Caenorhabditis elegans: one gene and its partners. The protein of the gene in region 2 interacts with the protein of the main gene of each other region in a pairwise test. Each region holds a gene or a part of one and is shown on either strand. Other genes may lie near its edges.

Region 1 (8,007 bases), on a different chromosome or scaffold from region 2:
GAAATTCGCTCTTTTTTCTCAAAAAATTTGAAAAATTTTAATAAAAAGTTTACCGATCCAATGAAAGCTTAAATCCCTAGCCTGTTAATCAAATCTAATTTGATAATGACAGCTTCATCATCCTCTCTCTCTCCCTGTCCTCTCCGCGCGCAAAAAAAGATGTTTTCCCACCAGCGCGCGGGCGCCTCCGCTGCTGTCGAAATTGCCATTTTTGTAGGTCTGCGTCTCTTGGGATCAGTATGCTACCTGCAATTGGGAGTTTAAGGCACGCGCGTTCCGCAAATGTTTGCTAAACGGCGCGGCGGAGAGAGGGAGAGAGAGAGAGAGATGCCTGACCTCGGTGGACAAATAGTGAGAGGGATGAAGAGAGAATGAGACAAAAACAGTTCCCTCTTCTTTTTCACCCCAAAGACGGTGGGCTAGCCAGCAACCGGCTAAATGAATTTCTTTCCGGCTTTTGGGTTTTTTACCTAATATTTTGTATTTTCATAGTTCTTATTATACAATTTTCGCCAAAGATAGAAAATGTAGTTTTCCTTTTAGGTCCCCCAATTTTAGATTATACTACTACTTTGGAACATAGTTTTTAGGCCTTTTTTAAAAGATTTTTTAGCTTTGGCTGAAAAACTCCTGGAACTGGGAATTTTGGCCCAGAAAATTGTGACGTCAACACGTTCTTAACCGTGCGACAACAGTTGGCGCATTTTTTGTAGATCACACCGTTATGGGACACTCTGACACCTTGTCGGAATATTGTTAGCCTAAAAAACTTTGATCCCTAAATTTTGTTGCTCACTTTATTCGAGAGAAATTTCAGTTTAAATTCTAGGCACTGAAATTATAATAGTTCTCGATTAATACTATGAGTTCCTTTCCTGCTTTATTGTAACCTTTTAGCTTGAAATTTTACTTTAAAAACTGAATTTTCTACTCTAGAAGATTGATATATTGAAAAAGTTGTAACTCATATATTATAATTTAGTGCCAATTTTACGGTCAAATTTTTTGATTTTTATTAGCTGACAACTTTTCATATTTTTCAGGATAAAATAGATATAGTAGTAGTCCAGAAAGTTATTTTTATGGCTCCTAGAAATCCATACAACTCTTTATTGGGGCTAGATGTCAAAAAGTTGTCAACTAAAAAAATGTAGCAAATTTTATGCGTAATGTATTGTTAGTTGACAACTTTTTTATATTTATTAATCTGAAGGTGTTATAGTCGATTTAATACAGCTAGTTAGTCCTAGCTTGCCCCTGAAACCCCATAACGAAGAAATATAAGAAAATTTCGCATTAAGTATTTTATTGGTTCACAAGTTTTGTGTTATTTCTTTTTTGAAACTAGTCCAAAATTATTTTTACTTGACTGATCATCTTAAAAATTTTTGCAAGTTTTCTTGGGCCCTTTTTTTTAATCGCTTACAAAGAAATGCTCCAGGCTCCTTTAAATTGTGCAGCAGACATTTATCGCTGCATTTTTCCAAATTCCCACCTAAAGTTTCGCTAAAAATGAATTTTCTGGATTTATAAACCCTGTAGCTCCCCAGCGTGTCAAGTAGTCAGAAAGTTTTTAACTGATAAAACGAAGTAAGCTTTGAAATCTACAATTTTTTAGTTGACCACTTTTTGATATATATATATCAAAAAATAGATTGACATACCAAAAAATAGATTGGCATATCAAAAAATAAATTGGCATATCAAAAAACAAATTGGCATATCAAAAAACAAATTGGCATATATATATATATATATATTTAAACGATTCATGGCAGTTTAACGCCCACACCTATTTTGCCCTGGCTCCTGGAAACCCCTATAACTATAACTTTAATTGGTGCTAGTGTCTATCAAAATGTTGTCAACTCACAAGTTGTAGTAAATTTAATTTTTTTGATCTACAATTTGCTAATTGACAATTTTAAAACGCTATATTTTGTCCAGCGAACCCTAATGAACCAGAACTATCTAAATTTCTTCCAGAACCTCCCAAATCAAAAAACTGACGACACCAGGATCGTCCGTTCCTCCCCATGGGATCCTGTATTGGAAAAGAGGATCCACCGCCTGGTGCAACGTCACCAGTCCACACGTCATCCACGTTGGGAAGGGAGTCACTGCCAAGTCATCCACGAATTCCGTCCATCGGTCCGATTGCGGCGTCTTCCAGTGGAAATACGATTGATAAAAATCAGAATATCTCGCAATCTGCGAATTTTGTCGCTTTATTCCAATATGATGCACGGACAGATGATGATTTGAGTTTTAAGAAGGATGATGTTAGTTTTTTATTTTATTTTTTGAAACTCCATATCTCATTCTTTCAGATCCTTGAAATTCTAAATGATACCCAAGGAGACTGGTGGTTCGCCAGGCACAAGGCAACTGGACGGACTGGGTATATCCCGTCGAATTATGTTGCCAGGGAGAAAAGTATCGAGTCACAGCCGTAAGTTTTTTTTTTTTTGAATTTTTAGCCAGCCTAGGGAGAGAGGCCGGACTTGAACTTGTGACCTCCAGATTGCTGGTGGTTACCACTACCTACTGAGCTATCCAGCGCCTCTTTGTTAGTTGTCACAGGGGCTTGATCAGGTGTAACTAAAACTGTCATAACTCCTTTGGCTTGTGAGATACAAAAAAATTGTCAACTAGCACATTGTAGAGCAGAAAATTTCCTACATTTTGTTAGTTTAAACTTTTTTGATAGCTAGCACCAGTGAAGAGTTATAGCACTTTAGAGGTGTCAGCGGGGAATCAGAGCAGGCGTAGAAATGGTTCAACTCTTTAAGTGTATTTTTACCGGCAAAAGTTGTCAACTGACAAAATGTTAATTGTAAAATTTACTACATTTTCGTATTTTGAACCTTTTCAGTAACTTAATGTTTGTAGAGTTACATAGCTTTAACGAAATTTTGAAAAAAATAACATTTTTACGAAACTTAGAAAAATTCCAACTCACATTAAAACCTTAAAACTCGAATAATTTTGTAGTTCACTGGTAGTAGTACCTAAAATCAAGTACTTAATATTCCCTATATTTTGTTAGTTGGCGACTTTTTAATATTATAGCTAACACCATTAAAAAGTTATAGGGATTTCTAGAAGAAATCCGTGTAGGCCTTAAAACTATGATAACTTTTTAAAATTGATTGATATCAAAAAGTTGGCAACTAGCAAACTGTAGAACATAAAATTTGCTACAATTTAATAGTTGACAACTTTTTAATAGCTTGCTTTATTGCAGAGTTACAGGGATTCAAAAAATAAGATTTTAAAAATCCGAAAATCTAAATTTTTACAAATTTCCAGGTGGTACTTTGGAAAAATGCGGCGAATCGATGCGGAAAAATGTCTATTGCACACTTTAAATGAGCACGGAGCATTTTTAGTGAGAGATTCCGAAAGTCGACAGCATGATTTATCATTATCAGGTCAGTGAACTTTTAAGGGCGCCCCATAGGGCACATGGCGGGCGAAAACCGGTTTTCTGGGAGAGATAATCAAGGTCGGATACAACAAAATGAGAAAGGCGCGGTGACAGTAAGAGGCAGAAAAGAGGTTATCCCCGCTCGCCCCGACCTTTTATGATTCCGAAAGTAATGGGAATTTGGGAGAAAGGAGGCAAATTGGGAGATTTTGATGGGTTTAGATGGGTAATTTGGGATGGGGGAATTTAGATGGAAACTGTCAAAAATAGATGGAATATACATAGATGTTTATTTAATTTTTAAAACTTTTTTTAAAAAATTCGAAAAATCATTTTCGATTTTTTTAAAAAAATTTTATTGAATTTTTTGCCAATAATTTTCTAATTTTTTAATAAATGTTTTTTGAAAAACTGATAGATTTCATTTTTTCTGAAAGTATTACAAAAAGTTTTTATCTTTATTTTCAATTTTACAATTCTGAAAAATTATAAAAAAATATGTATTTCGTGCTTTGTAGTTTGTAGTTTGTAGTTTGTAGTGTGTAGTTTGTAGTTTGTAGTTTGTAGTTTGTAGAAAACCTTTCAAAGCTCTTTTGAGAGTTACCAAAAAACGTTTTTTTGGGAATTTTGAATTTTTCAAATTTATAATATTTCAGTATTTTTTTTTCCTTTGTAACATTCCAAAAACTGTCAAAAAAAAAACAAACTCATCAAATTCCAAGTTTTCTTAAATTTGAAGATTGTAGTTTGTAGTCCAAAATCCCCCTATTAATCCCAATTTTCTTGCAGTCCGAGAGAACGACAGCGTAAAGCACTACCGTATCCGTCAACTGGACCACGGCGGGTATTTTATCGCCCGGAGGCGCCCGTTTGCCACGTTACACGACCTGATTGCACATTACCAACGAGAAGCCGATGGTCTTTGTGTGAATCTGGGAGCTCCTTGTGCCAAGTCAGAAGCCCCACAGACAACGACATTCACATATGGTAAGCTGGAAGTTTTTATGCCTGACAGGTGCCTACATCTGCCTAGATGCCTACTAGATACCTCGGTGCCTACTACATGCCTAGATACCTTTTTCATGCCTAGATACCTACGACATGCCTAGATACCTACTACGTGCCTAGATACCTACTACATACCTAGGTAACTGCTTGATGTCTAGATGCCTACTACATGTTTAGATACCAACTATATACCTAGGTAACTTATTGATGTCTAGATGCCTACCAAATGCCTTGATGCCTACTACGTGCCTATTAACCTACTACATTCCCAGATACCTACTGCATGTCTAGATACCTACTACGTGTCTAGATGCCTACCTGATACCTAGGTGCTTACTTAATGCCTAGATTCTTACCAAATGCCTAGATACCTACTACGTGCCTAGATACCTACTACTTGCCTAGATACCTACTACATACCTTGATACCTACTACATGCTTAGATACCTACTACAAACCTAGGTAAATCCAGTAGGCAAAAGGCGAACCTAATTCAGGCCAAAGTTGACTTAAAGGTAGGCAGGCATTATTGTGCCTACCTACTAGGCCAAACAATTCCAGGGACCCACAAGGCGCCCAGTTACCTTTAAAAATGTTCAAAATTCCCATTCCAGATGACCAATGGGAAGTGGACCGCCGTTCGGTTCGTCTCATTCGACAAATTGGAGCCGGGCAGTTTGGAGAGGTAAGCATCATCATTCTCTTTCGGTTGTTTGCTTATTCACGTTGCCTGCCTGCCCGCCAGCCCCACAGCCCGCCAAATAGTGTGCACAGGCTCATCCTCCTCCTCCTCCTCCTGTTGCCTATTCCGTTCGTGTTTGATGTATATTTGTGTGTGTGTGTGTGTGTGTGTGTGTGTGTGTATAGAGAATTGATGGAGAACGAGATAAACAGGAGAAGATATGCTAATTGAGTGGGGGTAAGGAGATGATCTTAGGGGAAAATTGCAGGGGGGGGGGGGGGGGGGTGGGTCCCCGATGCACCATGTGTAGCCCCAAATTACAATTGTTAGGGTAGAGCCTGAAAAATTTTAGGTTTTTTTGTAAAAAAAACCCCAAAAAATCGCATGAGCAAGAATTTTTCTTGATATTTCTAGGCGCACGGGGTTCTGGCCTTCCTTATTGATTTTTTCGCGCTCCATTGACCTGGACAACGCGTGGGAAAATCGTGCACTCCACACGGACAACTACAACAAGTTTTAAAACTAAAATCGAGCCGCGACGCGACACGCAACGCGCCGTAATTCTACCCCAGATATGGCCGATCCAAAATGGCCTTGTTCGGCAAACTCTTCCATCTCAATTTATGAGGGGAGCCAGAAATCCGTGTAGGCGCTACTTTACACTCAAAATAAAAAAAAACTGCGTGGCGTGTACTGCAGAAAACCTAATATTTAGGCCCCGCCTTTCTCTCGTCCACTTACGGAGAAACGGCAAAAATTTTGACCCCAACCAATATCAGGCCGCCAACATCTCACGGGTTCCGCGCGTCGCTGCGTTTAACTCGCAGCGGGCGGAGACAGCTCGTCACGCCCACAGCAAGTTAAACGCAGCGGCGCGCGAAACCCGTGAGATGTCGGCGGCCTGATATTGGTTAGGGTCAATATTTTTGCCTTTTCTCCGTGAGCGGACGAGAAAAAGGCGGGGCCTAAATATTAGTTTTTTATTTTGAGTGTAACTCCCAGAAACCTCTCAGCCTATGGACTAAAAAACTTCAGGCTTTTATTTTTCCGTGTTTTTCTTAATCCAGGGGCTTTTAGTGTAGATCCTAAAACAACCGGATAAAACGGTTTCCCCTTTTTCTATTGACTTTTCCATCTCCTGATCCGAGCAGCTACAGCCGCCAATATTGAAACAGATAGGACCGGTTTGAAACATGATATCACTCCCCTACAAACATCAGTTCCGCTAGGAGATCTCATAAAACGAAGGGATCTGGAACATAGAGATTTACCACTAGGGTTATAAGGAAATGTCGATGCACCATGAGTAAAAACTCAACCTCGAATATAGATAGCAAGGCCCTAAAATGAATGACAAATGTTCTCATTAGAGCGCACTTAAATTTGCAAGCATGAACGAAAATATGAGTTTTGTAAGAAATTTAATCTATGAAGCTTCAAAACCATGCGAAAAATGGCTAAACATACGAAAATTCTTACTACAGCTTACTAAAGTGTGTGTTTGAACTTTGAACTTTTTACCTAACCCCGCCCCCCCCCCCCTTATGCTTGCATGTTTAAGTGCGCTCTAGTGAGAACATTTGTCATTTTTTAATTAGAGCGCACTTGCAAATCAGCTTGCAGATCCTGGATGTACTACATAAACCATCAATTTCCAGGTATGGGAAGGCCGATGGAATGTGAACGTCCCCGTCGCTGTGAAAAAGCTAAAGGCCGGAACCGCAGATCCTACGGATTTCCTAGCCGAGGCACAGATTATGAAGAAGCTCCGGCATCCGAAGCTTCTGTCCCTGTATGCAGTCTGCACACGTGATGAGCCGATTCTTATAGTCACCGAGCTAATGCAGGAGAATCTGCTCACATTCTTACAGCGACGAGGTCGGCAGTGTCAGATGCCTCAGCTGGTGGAGATCTCGGCGCAGGTGAGGTTCACGTTCGGATTCCTCGAAATTAAAAAAAAATTTCAAAAAAAGTTTTGCAGGTTGCCGCTGGAATGGCCTACCTAGAGGAGATGAATTTCATCCATCGAGACCTAGCAGCACGAAACATCCTTATCAACAACTCCCTATCTGTAAAAATCGCAGATTTCGGGTTAGCCAGGATATTGATGAAGGAGAACGAGTACGAAGCAAGAACCGGAGCACGGTTTCCGATAAAATGGACGGCGCCCGAGGCGGCGAACTATAATCGATTCACAACCAAGTCGGATGTCTGGAGTTTTGGAATCCTGCTCACCGAGATTGTCACGTTCGGACGGTTACCCTATCCAGGTGAGGATTTGAACCGACCCGTTTGATCTACACGAATTGCGGAAATTTAGGCGCAGACTTTTCAACTGATTTCGCATGGTTAAGAGTGTGCTGACGTCACCATTTTCTGGGAGAAAAATTCCCGCATTTTTTGTAGATCAAGCCGCAATGAGACAGCCTGACACAACGTAAGATGGTCTCATTGCCGCATGACCTCCAGAAGTGGCGGGAATTTGAATTAAAAATTTTGACGTCATATGAGCTTTTTTGAAAACTAACATCCCGCCTTTTATTGAGGTCAAATTATTTTTTTTACAAAATGGTACCAGTTCGCTAATTATAAAAATTAAGTCCCTTATTGAAGGGGCCTTGAAAATTTCGCAAAACTTTGGGAATAGGTCGCGTCAACTAAAATGTGGAATATTCCTGCGCCCTTCGCCGTTTGATCTCCGGGAATCGCGGAAAATTCAAATTTTGAAAAATGCGATGTAGCCTAAGTTTTACTGTAGAACGTGGTGTCAGAGTGTCCCATTTCGGTTTGATCTACGTAGATCTACAAAAAATGCGCGGAGTTGAGACGCAGAGTTCTAAAGTGATTTTTAGAACGAAAAACTCCCGCATTTTTTGTTGATCAAACC
Region 2 (4,384 bases):
CAAAGGTGTGGTAAAGCAAAAGACATTAACGTTGCTTTAAAAAAATTGAGAGCACTATTGCATTTTTGAGACTCACAAATTATAATTTAAAAAAATAACTTAAAATTTAGAATAAATTGTTATCTGGTATATCCAAGAAATAAGTAAAGACGGCGCGCTTTTTGGTTGAAAAAAAATTGATTTTTAAGTTCGAAAAACATACCACTTCACCTTTTCCGTTGACAAAAGATTTCACAACCCATTACGCTCATTTTAATTATTATCATTGACTCGTTATAGAATTTTAACTAATGGTTTAATTTCGTTTTTAGAGCCGTATAAACTTTAAAACTAATCGGAGAAGACTTTTATTAAAATTCGAAATGTCTGAGTATTTTGTTCAAACTAGCTTGCAAAATGTGAAAATGTCATTAAAGGAAACTCCACATGCAAAATTTTCCAGATAAACTACTTTGCATCTACAAATTATGTTCTGTAAAAATTATAGAAAGTGGATTAATATAATAATTATTAACCTTCATTGATTTACAAAGGGATTGGAAAATACTTGACAAATTCGATATAAAAGCAAGACGGCGAGTAAAGTGGGAGGCAGAGAGAAGCTTCATGATGCTCTCGACAAGAGATTGAGCCGGAGGAATAGAATGAAGTGATAAAACTATATCAGAACAGTGTGAGTTGTGATAAAACCGAACAATGTAGCACCGAACGAAAAATCGTATTGGTTTTGGATGAATTGCAAAATGTCAAAAGAAAAAGAGAGACAATGACGAGAAATGGCAAATAGTTATGACAAAAATTGCATGAACACAAAAAAAAACAAATGCGAACAGTCTCTGAGTATTGTGTCAGAGTATCTAATCGCTTAATAGATCCGTAATAGAATTGGTGTGGGGTTGGAAGAAAGCGGGAAAGAAAAGGCTGTTGATAACACAACAAGAATTGTATCATTGCCAACGAAACCGAACAAAAAATCGATAAAACATTGCCAATGGCAGTTCCAAGTTGCAAAGAATAAAAACATTGAAAATTCATGGTCTACATGTAAAACACGAACAACTTATCTCAGTTTTGAGAAAGTTGTGAAATTAATACCCAGCATTGGAAAGTGTGTTTGTGACAAGATTTAGTGATTATTATTGGAGATTAAGTAAGAGAGGGCTTATTAGACTACTATGTCAAGAACAAATGGTATAGAAGAAACATTGAACGCTCCTTTTAAAGAACGAACAGAGACAGGAAAAATCCTAAAATAACGTCCTAATTTCCAAAGTTGAAGCCAGGAGCCACGTTGGAGTTGCTCTTATTGCTATTGTAAGGGCATACGTAGTTGGATGGGAAAATTCCACGCCTGTTGTTCAGCTGTCCTTCCCACCAGTTTGGATCGTCTTTGTTGATCACTGAAAATAAAATATAAGAGATTTTCTAAATGTTTTATTTTTCGGGGTTGCTCAACCCCGACAAATAGATGATCAACCGATTAACTCTATTTTTACGTTGTGAACATTCATAATGCTGCAAATTGTATCTTGAAATCCAATGTTTCTCCGAAAAGTAAATAATAGCCACAGAGTTTTTTCATTTCAATTTGAGTTTATACAAAAACTAATCTAACAACTGATTTTCAATACGTGCATTTATTTGTTCCAGTGAAAGTTAGTTTAAGCAAGACGTCTCATATTATCTTCCTAGTACTTTGTATTACCTTTTTGTTATTTTTATGGTTCTTCTTAAATATTCTTGTTTTAAGATCTATAAAGTGAATAGTTTCAAAATTTTCGAAATACAGTCCAAGATATATCCATTTTTACCATTTTCAATTAAACCTAGAATTTTTTGATTCAAACTTTCAATTGAACATTTTAAAATCATGAAAATTTGTGTTTCAAAAACACTTACAAGTGATAACATCTCCTCTTTTGAAAGCTAGCTCTCCACTCTCCTGTGGGTTGAAATCAAACAGGGCCTGTACAAATTTAGTCTCCACATTCATATCTGACAGCAATATTGTGTGAGTACGCGAAACAGAAGCGGTTCTGAAAATTATTGATTTTTTACTTTTTTTTTGAAAAAGTGTGACTCACCTGTGATAAGCAACTAATTCATTCAAAGAGTTGAATTTGACAGCCCACAAGTAATATTTACCATTTTGATCACGCAAAACTTTGAAATGTTGTACAGAATCTTGGAATCTGGAAAAAAATGTATAACTTTTTGAAAATCTATAACATCTTCTTACCGAACACTGATCGAAAATTCTCCTGGACTACTTTCACACTGTCGGACAAGGAAATGACCATCACGTACGGTTGGCTTTTTCAGCAATACTTCTGCGTCATTTCTTGTTATTTTACCAAGGTACCTAAAAATCCAGAAATTTTAAAAATTGTTTACGCAAGCGTTCTCAGTTCTTCGCGCCCTAGCTGCGGGGTATACAAACAAAAACCGCGAGAAGTAAGATCGACTGATTTTTAAAATATAAGCTTATAGATTAAATCCTCAAAAAAGTCAAACTATTTTTTCCCGAACATACCAATTGCATTCAGTCATACGAATATAATTAGAAGGAATGAATCCTTCATTTCCATCCAATTCAGCTTTATACCAATGTGGATCTTCATCTTTGTTCAAAACCTGCAATTATTGATTTTATCAGGGCCCGGTTATGATATTGTTGAACAAACTTTTAGCGTGTTTCCTCTCTTGAAAGACAACTCATCAGGTGATCCCGCCTGGAAATCATGCTCGGCGACCGCCTCCATCGTCTCGCTACCTGAAATATACTCTTTGCAGCTTCAGAAACAATTAACACCAAAATAAAACATAACAGAGTACATTGAACAAACATTGTTGTCAATAAATTGGCCTGCTTGAGAGACTGTATCTACATATCGACATATCCGCGCGGCGCCAATGAAAAATTATTAGAGCAATAAAAAAATCTAGCGGCAAAGCATAGAGGAACAACTGAGAGGGAAAATGAGAATGAGAAGAGCGTAGTGCAAATTGTAACAGGAGATGAGTAAGAGGACCGGCGAGAAAAAAGAAGGATAAATGAAATTGAGAAACGCAGAACGCAAAATAAAAACCCGCAGGGTCACTAGTTCGGTGATTGAGGTGGTTTTAGTTGAGTGTTTGAACGTGAAAACGGGGAAACAGTGGAAACAGTAGAAACCGGAGAGTAACAAACCGGGGCAACACTAAGTGTCGTCGATTCCGGCGCATTGTATGCAACACTAAATGTGCCGAATGCTACGACACTACTTTTCTCTAATACTCCAAATCTATCACGCGTTCTTCGTGTCTCTTTTTTCTCTCCCATCTTCGCACTGTCTCTATCTGTCTCTCCCACACACACACAAAAACAACGGCGAGTTTGGGCAGGCCGGACCGTACTGTTTTCCGCAATGAGTTCTGTAATTTACATGGTTTCAAATGGAGATTCAGAGAAAAAAGTGCGATACGCTATCAGCAGTCATCATGCACGTCTTTTCTTACACTTTTGAATGAATGGCCGGAGAAACGGAAAAGAACAAATGAAAAGTGATAAGAGAACACGAGAAAACGAAGAAGAAAGAATCAAATTGAAAATGCTCCAAGGCATTGGGTATTGCAATTCATCGATTAGAAGAATGTCAACAAACACACTCCCACCTTGTCCTGTCCAGCCTGAGGTGACTAACCGTCTAGAAATCAAAACATTTGGGTGTGCTGGGTAGTCAGTACCGATTCTCTTTTCAAAAATAAAAATGAAAACTATTTCGGAAATAGGGCTAGAGATGATAAATTAGATAGGAAACATAAATAGATTGCAACTTCAATCAAATTTTTGAACTTCAGTTGCTGGAAAATTATTTAGCAGTTAAAAAATTTAATGAAAATTACGAAATAAGACTATAATTTAACCGATATAAAAAAGATAATCGAACCTGTGACAGTTACTCATAAATACTTGACATTTTAATCGGTGAGTGTACGTAAATATAATAAGGAATAGTGTTTTCTAGCTGGAAACCAACTGTATTTACTACTAGTTAGTTTGACAAATGTGTATTTACCTGACTAATACAAAATCGTAAGAACAGTATCTATAGTAAAACTAATATATGACTGAAATTAACTTTTTTAAGAACCAAAATATTAAATTTTGTCACTGGTTCTTTAAATATATCCATATAACTTTTCTGAAAATTCTCACTGTTTTACAGTGTGAACTTCCAAGAGCAAGGTTATGTGACTGATTTGTCAATAAATTTACTAGGTTCCGTAGTCGGCAACTCGTGGCCACTTCTCAACCTACTTTGGCCACTTTCTAACTGCCATTAGATTTCCACCACTTCCCACTTCTCGACCAACTTTCGTCAACTTTCACACACTTTTTCTA
Region 3 (7,636 bases), 1.7 Mb from region 2:
ATTAACATAAGGACAATTTTTCTGTAGAAAGTGAGCAGAAATAATCAATTTTTTTTTTAAATCACATTGGAAACTAAATCCTCAACGCAATTTTAGATGTTTGAAGTGATATGTGTTTATTATTCACCTACATATGCAACACGTTGGAAACACTTATTACAACTTAACAGCACGGGTTTATCATTCTTCCTTCCTTCCACCTTCTCCTCTCAATTTCCACCCTTTATCTTCCCTTTACTGCACTTCATAAGTGCTTTTATCTCTTTTTCTTTTCCTCTCGATTTGCAGCATGTCATTATCTTTTTTGTCGTATATGTTTAAGTCAACGATTATTAACTTCAATTTAAGCATCGACCGTGTATCCTGTGCTATTATGTTTTTGTTGTTTGAGGCTATTTTGAAAAGTGCACAGCCTCCTCCGCATGTGCTCACTAGTTCTAATTGAATTTATCTGATTATTCGAGGAGAACCTTCTCAGATGCATAGAGTTGGTTTTTGTTCAAAAAATTTTTTCTTAGTCAGAAGTTAAATGTAATGTGCACCCATCACTGATCATAGTACATATGAATATAAAGTTTATTCAGCGAAGTTAAGGATTCTAACATGTAAAACAGCTGAATTATTTAAATTAGGAAAAATCGGTTAAAATCACCTTGAAAAATGTTGCCATATTGACTATAGCTATTAAGTAATAATTTTCTAAATGGAATTCATATTAATTCAGCTGGCAAATTTGGAAAAGTGTTTTGTCACCATCATGTTTTATTTTTATTTTTTGTAATTCAGTTAAATTGTTGGACGCTATGTTTTTTTGTTGAAGAATTGACACGAAATTCGTTAAAACTATAATTATCATTTTTTAAGAACATATCCGACAACTTTTCGTGAGAGCCATTGCAGTTTATAAAAGGTATCTTGTTCTAGTGGTACATTTTAGATGTAAACTCGCAAAGAGCTGATAATATGAGGAAAATCTTCACTATAATTTTTCACCTAAGAATATCCTTGATGACTACAACTCGAACTCAATTTTCCATAAGCTACTATTAAACTTTTTTTTCCTACATTGACCATTAGTAGTATTAGCTGTAGTTATATTCTTTGTTGTTGTTGTTGCATCCAATGCACTCCTAGACCGACAAAAATTGCAAAGAAGAAGAGGAGAAAAGAATGTGTAGTTTTGTGGAGTTGTGAGTGACCGGCCATCCACATTGCGCCCTTCCTATTCCCATCACCCTGCTTTCACCACTCTTGTCGAGATTTTGGTGAAAAGCGAGTAAAATGCAATACATTACGAGGCATTCTTCGCGCGGGAGGAAACCCGGGGACCCCCTTGCTTTTCATCTACAACACTCCCTTTTTCTACATATTTCGCATTTCCTATCTTTTTATGCATTACTACTTCTTGTGGACCCCTTGAGTAGCAAAATACAACTACATCTCAAAAAGAGAAAGTAAACAAGATTAAGACAAAAAACTATATGTGTTCACAAAATCTGTTCTTTCTCCTATATTCTATCCGTCTTTTTTGTTTCCTACTTTTCTTTTTGTTTTTTGACATGAACATCTGCTTTCTCTTTTGTCCTAAATTAAATTCTGAATCGATCATTTTACAGGAGCTCAGATGAAATGAGCCTCAAAGACTTTGTCATATCAAAAACCGAAGTAATCGATGCTTGTAAAAAAGGAGAATATGATAAAGTTGCGTTGTTTCTCAGCTCGAAAAAGGGCAAAAAGATTCGAAGCGGGCTGAAGTAATACTTATTTTCTAATTTTCAAATAAACTATTGATATTTTTCAGATTTTTCACAACGCGATCAGACAGTCATTGGCTCGCCGACTACAAAGATGAAAAATCTGACTTCACCTTACTCCATCATGCGGTTCTCGAGAATCAAAATCAAATCAGTAAACTCCTTATGGACTACGAACCACTTCTTTTACTGTGTAAAAGTACAAAAAATATTTTACCAATTCACTTGGCCGCCTGGAATGGGAACTTGGAGATTGTGAAAATGCTTCTTTTACAAACAATGGAAAAGCCCGCAGATATTCTGAATGCAGTGAACATTTTCAATGAAACTCCACTTCATCTTGCAGTTCAGAGATGTCATCTTGAAGTTGTGTTCTATTTGATAAAGGTAAGCAAAGATAACTTTGAGAATTAAAACTATTCGACTGTGAACAGGAACAACATTCATATCTATAATAAGTTATTCAATTTTGCAATGCGTTTGACGTTTGATTCTTGTATAGAGATTAAATTGTTGACAGATTTAACAATTGTTAGCTTGAAAAATCACGTATCGTTTCAATTTCCTTAAATTTCAGAAAAATGCCGACCCCTTCATTCGTAATGAAAACAAGGAAAATGTGATTGACGTTGCATCACGCATTGGATCTGCTGAAGCCATCAGAATGTTGTGCCAAAAATGGCCAAAGTTTCCTGTGCAGTCAGCATATGAGTCTCTTCGAGTTGGAACACCGGACATAAAACGGCCCTTTCCGGCCATATACCCATTTCACCTTGCAGCAAAGTATAATCACGTTGAGTGCATGCAAGTGAGTTGCTTTTTCCACTTTGCTATTCATTATTCAAGAATTGAGTATAAGAGTAAGGGTGATGCAGAATAGTTTACTCCTTGCGTGAATGTTGGTAGCAATTTGAGAATAGCAAAAAAACGGGGTTAATTTTCTGATAGGCGTGTTTCATATGAATCTGCAAGTTTGTACAATGTTTACAAATTTGAAATTCGAAATAGATTCGATAGTAACATGCTTATGATTTCATTTTCATAACTCATCCCAAAAAACGTTTAGTTTGAAATATAAACACTCAACAGATATTTTTTTGACTGTGCACTTATGCGTCACGGTGTTTGCGGTTTTCCAACAAAAAAAACTATATTTTCTGTAGTAAATATTTTGAAACACTACTATTTATTATTTGTATTTTTGTAGTTTAATCATAGGTTTATAAGACTCATATGTTCTGTAGATTTTTTTAGTTAAACAAACCCAATCAAATAATTTACTGTTTCACTTAAATGAAAAATGTACTAAATGTTTAATTTCAGGCTCTTCGTGAACATGGTTTCTCCATTAACTACACTACGGAAGATGGGACAGCTCTACATGTGGCTTCTGCTTGTGGACAGGCCGAGGCAGTCAGGTTTCTGCTGGAAATTGGCGTGAACACTGATATCAAAAATCAACACGGACAAACAGTGCTCCAAATGATCATCGATCTCCAGGAGAACCGAAGGAATGAAATCGCCCATTTTGTAAAAAATCCGGAAGGATGGAAGGAATGTAGAACAATTATCGAAGGAATGGATAGAAGAGACTCTGGAAGAGAAACCGAAGGAAGTCAAAGTGACAATGAAAGAGAAGCAATTTGGCAACCACTTCCAAGTCAAGCAAGCGGTGGGTTATTTTTAAAACTAATAATATGTGCATTGTAAGGAACATTTCGGTTATCAATCGAGTTAAGCTCAAAGTTCAAAATCTGAATGATAAATAAAGTTATTCACGATTTCAGTTCAAGTATACCCGGATCAACGAAGAAACAATCATTCCATCTACCAGCCACCTTCTATTTCTGCAAGACTGCGAGATTTATCCCCCGACGACTCTACAGAAGCTTTGAACAGTGTTCGATCAGAGGGGCCTTACACCACACACTCTATCAATCGTACATGGAACAGTTCCATGTTAGACAGAGCTCCAAGAACTGGAAGGTTCCCGTTGACATCGCCTAGTTATCACTCAAAGCATTATTCGTGTCAAAGATCCAGCGATACATTGCCAACGAGGCTGAAAAATGTTAGAACGAGGCCAACAGAAAAGCAAATAGGTAATCTATTATCGATATTCTGAGTTTACGGATTGACTTTATTTTCAGCTTCTGTACTCCCGGGAGATAATTGTGCATACAACTCTCCTTCAAAATTCAATGAATGGCAAAAGAGTCAACTGACCATTAGCAATCGTCCGCCAGCACCATATGACAACGTTCCGAACAACTCTGCAATATTCGTCCGCCCCAACTCACCAATAGCAAGATCTGCATCACTCCGTAGACAATCCGGATACGCAACACTTCCAAAACTTGCCACCTACTCTCCAAGAATTCCAGATCATGGTCGTCCTGACCTGAATGACGCCTTTATTCAAGACCCAGACAAAACAATGGATAGGTCATTGAATCGGAACCGTAAGTATAGGAAACGACTCTAATTAATATAAAATAAAGACTTTTAAGAGTTTTCTATTTCCCGAACTACGTGTGATCGTGAAGAATCGCTGGGATTGACGCAAAGTCCAAGACTGGACACCAGAGCAAGCAGCATAACATCATCCTTGACATACGCGTGCTCGACACTTGACAAAGGTAGGCATTTTAAGCAAAAATGGAATGATTTAGGGGCATACGACAACCTAAAAAATTTCTAGCATATGATGTACGAGTTGATAAGTTCGGGTAGATTATGAGAAAACGAATCTTCCAACACTGATCTCATGCTCGGTATCTTGTTAACTCTGAAAAAAAACTTTGGTCAATGACAAGGAAAAAATCATTTCCTAAACTTATGGAGTCCTGAAGTCAATCTAAATAAATGCAATTTCAGATAAGTTCTTCCGGGAACGCGAACGTGATAACGGCCGTGCACCATTGGCAATGCCAGAAGAAATAACAGGTTCAGTGACAGGCAGTGTCATTTACAGCCAAGGAAATGCGAATCAACATCTAAATGGGAATTATGAGAAAGACAACAATGTGACTGCAATTTTTTTAGAAGACGTGATGAGACCATCATCAAACTCTGCCGAGAGCCCACCTTCCCCAAACACCTCTAAAGCATTCATCTTTGACGCGTTATGTGGAAAATCTCGGCTGGTTGACTCTACAAATGTTGATTTCTTCTCTGGATTCTCGTCATCGTCAAATTTGAGCCACAGAAGCACTGAATCAACGTCGAAGGTGCAGATGAATAGCAGTTTCACTGAGCCGGAAGAGCCTGTCCGAATCCGCCGTCAAAATGGAACAACGAACCTTATGCTGAATTCACTTTCACCCACAGATAATTTGTCGTCCCCCTCATCAGACCAGAAATCAGACACGACCAGTGAAGAACCTAGTTGGGATAGGGTAAGTCGATCAGGGGACAAACCAATTTTTGTTTATTTTTTCGTAACAATGGCGTATCTGCAAAAAGCACACGGATTTTATGTTTCTCAACAGTTTCTCAATAGTCAGCTATTGTTAATGTAAAGAAAAACAGATCAGAAGTTTTTTTTAATGATAAAAACCTGCACTCGCTGTGCGGGCTTAATTCTTACGGTGTATTTGAAATACAGAGCCAGAAAAACTGTAATAGGTCAGTCTTTTTTGTGTATTTGCAAAGCTGGGTAGCGGGAATAAAACGCAGTAAAAAATAACGGCAGCGCCTAAACGTTTGTGCGTTTTTGGATTATCAGCATTAAACAACAAAAAACGATTTAAATGTCAATTCTATAATTTCAAATTTGAAAAAAGTGTCAGTGAAACTTTGTTAATTTTTTGTATAACAGGTGGAAAGTGTATTCGATTCGTTTGGTGCAGCTCCATGTCGTGAAAGTGTTTTTGTTCGTGAATACGAGCCACGTGTGGCAGTTTACTTACGTGATCGTGGGTCGAAAGCGTTGAGCGTAACACTTGTCGAGGATGAGTTCAGAGATCACAAGTCGCTTCTTGTAAAAAAGGTACTTTTAGTTACATTTTTGTTTCAACTTCCATTCATGTCACGTTTTACACCGGTTGTTCATGTTTCAGCAACCAAAAACAATAATTGAGTGGTTGGAAAGTGATGTTATGTTAGCCCCAGTAGCGGCTGATTCAGTTGGAGCACTTCTTCAAACTCATGGATATGATAGAATGGATCAACTAAAAGGGATAATAAATAGAAGTATCCTTACGGAAATCGGAGTAGATGACGTCACCAAGTTCAAGATAATGTCAGAGATTGAGAAATTGAAGGATGATGTTGCTAGTGCTGGTTGGTTTTTTTTTGAAACATAAAACACATTCATAAAACACATTTACTCTGCCGGAACATTTTAAGAAACCTTCATCAATTTTTCAAATCACTTTTCAATTCCAGGACGTTTCTTCTATGTTAGTGAATGGCTCAACTTCATCGGACTTCAAGATTACATTTCCAACTTTGTCGGTGCAGGATACAAGCATATGGCAAAATTGACAGAAATTGACTGGGACACGGCAAGATTGATGGTGAGTAAATTTGTTCAAATAACAACTTTTGTGATTTTAAGATACTTTTTATCACTGATTTCGCGTTTATTAATCAAAAAATATCCATAGACCTGTGATAATTGTTGCATATTTTTAATTTCAGCAACTCGGTGTTACTCGTCCTGGTCACATTGCTAGAATGCTCCATTCGTTCAAAAAAGCAGAAGACGAAAAAAGAAAAGAGTACAATAATCGACTACAGATTAAGCCATTAATGTCACCTCCTCCTCTGCCGCCAAGGTCAAAACAGTAAGTTTTTAATGAGAAATAATTTTCAAAAGAACAAACATTCAACAAGTTTCAGAAACAACTGTGCTGAATGCCCACAAGGCGATTTTGACAAGATCAAGAACAAGTTGCTGCAGGGCAACGTGGTGTATCGTGCACACCACCTCGGTGTTCTGGAAATTGGAGAAACCGAATGCTCTGATGAAGCTCATGCAGCTATGACAAGAATCAAAGAGTCGATAATTGACTGGGAGACTATTCCACGGGTTACTTTGGATTTGACTTGCAATGGAATCACTATCTTCGATGAAACTTTTAAGGTAATGATTAAATTATCACCTAATGGAATTGACAAATTGTAAAAGTTCAGCAGAACTGAGAAGCGGTTAAAGAATAAGGGGGTCGGGAAACAATAATTTAACGACTGATACACCTGCATTCGTTGCAGGAAAGTTATGACGTGAAAGTATTTCATAAAATCTGATTACTTATGAAATATACTTATACGATGTGAAAAAAACACAAAGATATTTTAATCGTATGGTATTTCGGAAATTGGATTTTAGAAATAGAACATCATATTTCTCGAACCGAGAATTCATATTTTGTTTGTGTTTATCAATTTTATCAATTGTATTTTCTCAGCAGACGTTAGAGGTTGAGACGTTTTTTGACTAGTCTAGGAAATTCGCCGCAATCGGATATCAGCTGTAGGCCACAAAAGACCACCCGCAATATTAATTTGATTAGAAAATCCGAAGCGTTGACAAACTTGCCCCCCGATTAATCTCAATGATTTTTTAGACTCTACTTGACGGCTATGGTGTCTATACAATAAGAGTCGTATGTCAGGATAGAAAGGATCTCAACTTCTTCTGCTTTGTTGCAAGGGACACTGAAAATCGTTTCTTTTGTCACACTTTCTGTGTGCTGACCTCGGTATTTCGCACAAATAATGCCTTAGAAAAGTTCATATTTCTAGGGAATTGCCGCAGAAATCATCACCACAATCGGAATGATGTTTGAGCTCAGAAGCAGAATGGACAAGTCTCTGCCAATCGAAGGAACAATGGTACGATGCCGGCATAACAGTCAGCAAACTACTGAGAACCA
Region 4 (2,836 bases), on a different chromosome or scaffold from region 2:
AATTGAATATCGTTGTCACAATTCGAACAAAAATTTGTTTCGAAAATAGAGCCCGTAAATCGACCTACAGTAGTCATTTAAAGAATTACTGTAGTTTTCGCTACGAGATATTTTGCGCGTCAAATATGTTGCGCAATACGCATTCTCAGAATTAAGATATCTGATGTAATTAAAGAAAAAATCTGTCAAGGTTTGAGTTATCATAAATGTCTGCTTGATTAGTTGATCAATGGAAAAACGAAGACAAAAAGAGTAAAAGACATTCGTCAAACGGCGACGACAGAGAGCACGTACCGCCTGATAAGCGACTCACGTAGCCTATCTTATCAGCATCTCAACTGTGCACGCACACACACAAAAACCCCCGGCTCCATTTGGTGACGACTCACGTGATATGATGGCAGAATGATGATCAACTTTCCTACTTCATTGCTATCGATTCACCGATGATGATAAAAAAGGGTCAGGGACAAACAGAAATCACGGGATACGACCTAGATTGTACACATAACAGAAAGATTCCGATTTCTACTCATTCCTTTTCAATAATCATGACCGAATTCACGTCACTTTTTAACATTCGTTTTTCTTCTTCTTTTCTTCAAAATATATTTCATTTTTAAAAATGAATTCTGTTCGAATGCTCGCTAAGAATGCAATTAGACCACTCATCAAAACTCGGAGTTATACTGGATTCTCTCAGTCGTATGTTATTTGCTTGAATTTTAGATTCTTGTAACTCCTGAACACTAAAAACACTTTATTATTACTTTAAAAAATTCTGAGAATGCGTATTGCACAACGTATTTGACGCGCAAAATATCTCGAAGCGAAAACTACAGTAATTCTTTGAATGACTACTGTAGGTCGATTTATGGGCTCAATTTTCGGAATGTATTAAAATAATTTATTTATCGAAATGACAAAAATCGAAAAATTGAATATCGATGGCACAGAAATTCATTACAAAAATCGTTTTCGCTACGAGATATTTTGCGCGTCAAATATGTTGCACAATACGCATTTCGAAAGCGAGTGGTTCCCCTAATAAAGGAACTTTTAAGTTGAAGCATAATACTATTACGGGAAGACAAGTTTCTGAAAATGCGTATTGCGCAACATATTTGACGTACAAAATATCTCGAAGCGAAATCCACACTAATTTTTAAATGGCTACTGTAGCGCTTGTGTCGATTTAAAATTACTGTAGTTTTCGCTACGAGATACTTTGCGCGTGAAATATGTTGCGAAATACGCATTTTCAGAATTTTGTGTTCCGTAATAAGTAGAACAAATAACAAAAAATTCAACTTTTTCGCTTGAGATCACATTTTCGAAGTTTCTAATTTCATTCGCACTTAATTTGCCCTATCTTCCTTTTCTTCCAATTCACTTGATTTTTGCCATTTTCTGACGCTGATCATAGTTTTTTTGCCTTCTCAAAATCTCATTCTTTTCCTTAACCTTGTTCCTTATCAATTGATAAGATGCACACCGTCTCCGCCTCCCGACGTGCTCCACCCCTTTCCTGCTTAAATACCAACTATTTATGCTCATTGAGCAGTATTGCAGCCTTACCAGCCACAAACTACCATCAATAATGTCTCTCGCTCGTCAAAACTACCACTCCGAGGTTGAAGCTGCCGTTAACAAGCAGGTACGTCTTTATTTCGATGTTTCTAAACTAAATCCCCTAATTTTTCAGATCAACATTGAGCTCTATGCCTCATACGTCTACCTTTCAATGTCATTCTATTTCGATCGTGACGATGTTGCCCTTCCAAACATTGCCAAGTTCTTCAAGGAACAATCGGATGAGGAGCGTGAGCATGCTACCGAGCTCATGCGTGTGCAGAATCTTCGTGGAGGACGTGTCGTGCTTCAGGACATCCAGAAGCCAGAGAATGATGAGTGGGGAACCGCCTTGAAGGCTTTTGAAGCCGCGTTGGCTCTCGAGAAGTTCAACAACGAGTCGCTTCTGAAGTTGCACTCGACAGCCGGAAACCACAACGACGCGCATCTCACTGACTTTATCGAGGAGAAATATTTGGACGAGCAGGTGAGGATTATTCTATTTTTTTTAATTTAGAATCTGATGAAATTAACAGGTCAAATCTATCAACGAATTCGCCCGCATGGTTGCCAACCTCAAGAGAGTCGGACCAGGAGTTGGAGAGTACGTCTTCGATAAGGAACACTTTTCCGATTAATTAATATATATCTTATCTGCTCATCGCATCTTCTTTTGTTCTCTCTGTACATAATTATTTGCGAAAATTTACAAACATGCCACAATCTGTCAAATGAAAAGTATTGATCGAAGCGTTTTTGTTTGCCACAGTTCATTATCATACTAATTCCGTGTCACAATCTTTCTTGATAAGCCGTTTGGTCTTTAACTTTCCAAAGACGATTTTAAAATTCTCGGAATTCGAAATCGAAAATGGAACAGAATAGGAATGAGTGTGAAGTGCAAAAAGCAGGCAGATTAGAAGATTTCCATCGGCCTTTGTTTGACTTTTTTGCAATCGAGAAGCGATGCAAATGGGTTAGCGAGATGAGTTATGGATTCGCCAGGAAAAGAAGGACATTCTCCTCCGCTTTTGTTTATTTTGATTTGTTTTCCTGGGGAAAGATTGATTCGGAAGGTGTGATGGATGAATTGAAACACATCAGTTTTAACTCTAACAGTAAGATTTTCTATTATTTGATTTTTCAATAATTGTTCAAAGAATTGTGCTAACTCAATTTTTGCCACTGAAGCTTCACATTTACTTCGGAAATTATTGCAGAATTTGGCAATTAAACAAACCTTTGACTAGAAACTTCAGAAATT

Evidence for each region.
Region 1: the proteins of sem-5 (region 2) and src-2 interact in a two-hybrid assay, tested with the Caenorhabditis elegans proteins (3 studies listed by BioGRID).
Region 3: the proteins of sem-5 (region 2) and C11E4.6 interact in a two-hybrid assay, tested with the Caenorhabditis elegans proteins (3 studies listed by BioGRID).
Region 4: the proteins of sem-5 (region 2) and ftn-2 interact in a two-hybrid assay, tested with the Caenorhabditis elegans proteins (3 studies listed by BioGRID).

The regions. Positions count from the first base shown.
Region 1 is NC_003279.8:14,320,251-14,328,257, forward strand, and holds the start of src-2 (Tyrosine protein-kinase src-2), read left to right. Parts: upstream 1-1,986; 5' UTR 1,987-2,036; coding exon 2,037-2,282; intron 2,283-2,330; coding exon 2,331-2,452; intron 2,453-3,312; coding exon 3,313-3,434; intron 3,435-4,219; coding exon 4,220-4,417; intron 4,418-5,052; coding exon 5,053-5,123; intron 5,124-6,778; coding exon 6,779-7,042; intron 7,043-7,101; coding exon 7,102-7,390; intron 7,391-8,007. UniProt on the Caenorhabditis elegans protein: Non-receptor tyrosine-protein kinase which may play a role in larval and pharynx development. Unlike src-1, does not play a role in embryonic development.
Region 2 is NC_003284.9:7,958,951-7,963,334, forward strand, and holds sem-5 (Sex muscle abnormal protein 5), read right to left. Parts: upstream 2,774-4,384; 5' UTR 2,763-2,773; coding exon 2,685-2,762; intron 2,635-2,684; coding exon 2,534-2,634; intron 2,363-2,533; coding exon 2,240-2,362; intron 2,193-2,239; coding exon 2,085-2,192; intron 2,037-2,084; coding exon 1,900-2,036; intron 1,401-1,899; coding exon 1,261-1,400; 3' UTR 503-1,260; downstream 1-502.
Region 3 is NC_003284.9:9,608,947-9,616,582, forward strand, and holds the start of C11E4.6 (ANK_REP_REGION domain-containing protein), read left to right. Parts: upstream 1-1,616; 5' UTR 1,617-1,629; coding exon 1,630-1,754; intron 1,755-1,801; coding exon 1,802-2,141; intron 2,142-2,331; coding exon 2,332-2,562; intron 2,563-3,077; coding exon 3,078-3,426; intron 3,427-3,541; coding exon 3,542-3,856; intron 3,857-3,904; coding exon 3,905-4,216; intron 4,217-4,264; coding exon 4,265-4,393; intron 4,394-4,631; coding exon 4,632-5,152; intron 5,153-5,574; coding exon 5,575-5,745; intron 5,746-5,815; coding exon 5,816-6,038; intron 6,039-6,143; coding exon 6,144-6,274; intron 6,275-6,398; coding exon 6,399-6,544; intron 6,545-6,599; coding exon 6,600-6,843; intron 6,844-7,327; coding exon 7,328-7,462; intron 7,463-7,505; coding exon 7,506-7,636.
Region 4 is NC_003279.8:3,679,664-3,682,499, reverse strand, and holds ftn-2 (Ferritin), read left to right. Parts: upstream 1-1,572; 5' UTR 1,573-1,600; coding exon 1,601-1,657; intron 1,658-1,705; coding exon 1,706-2,059; intron 2,060-2,108; coding exon 2,109-2,210; 3' UTR 2,211-2,320; downstream 2,321-2,836.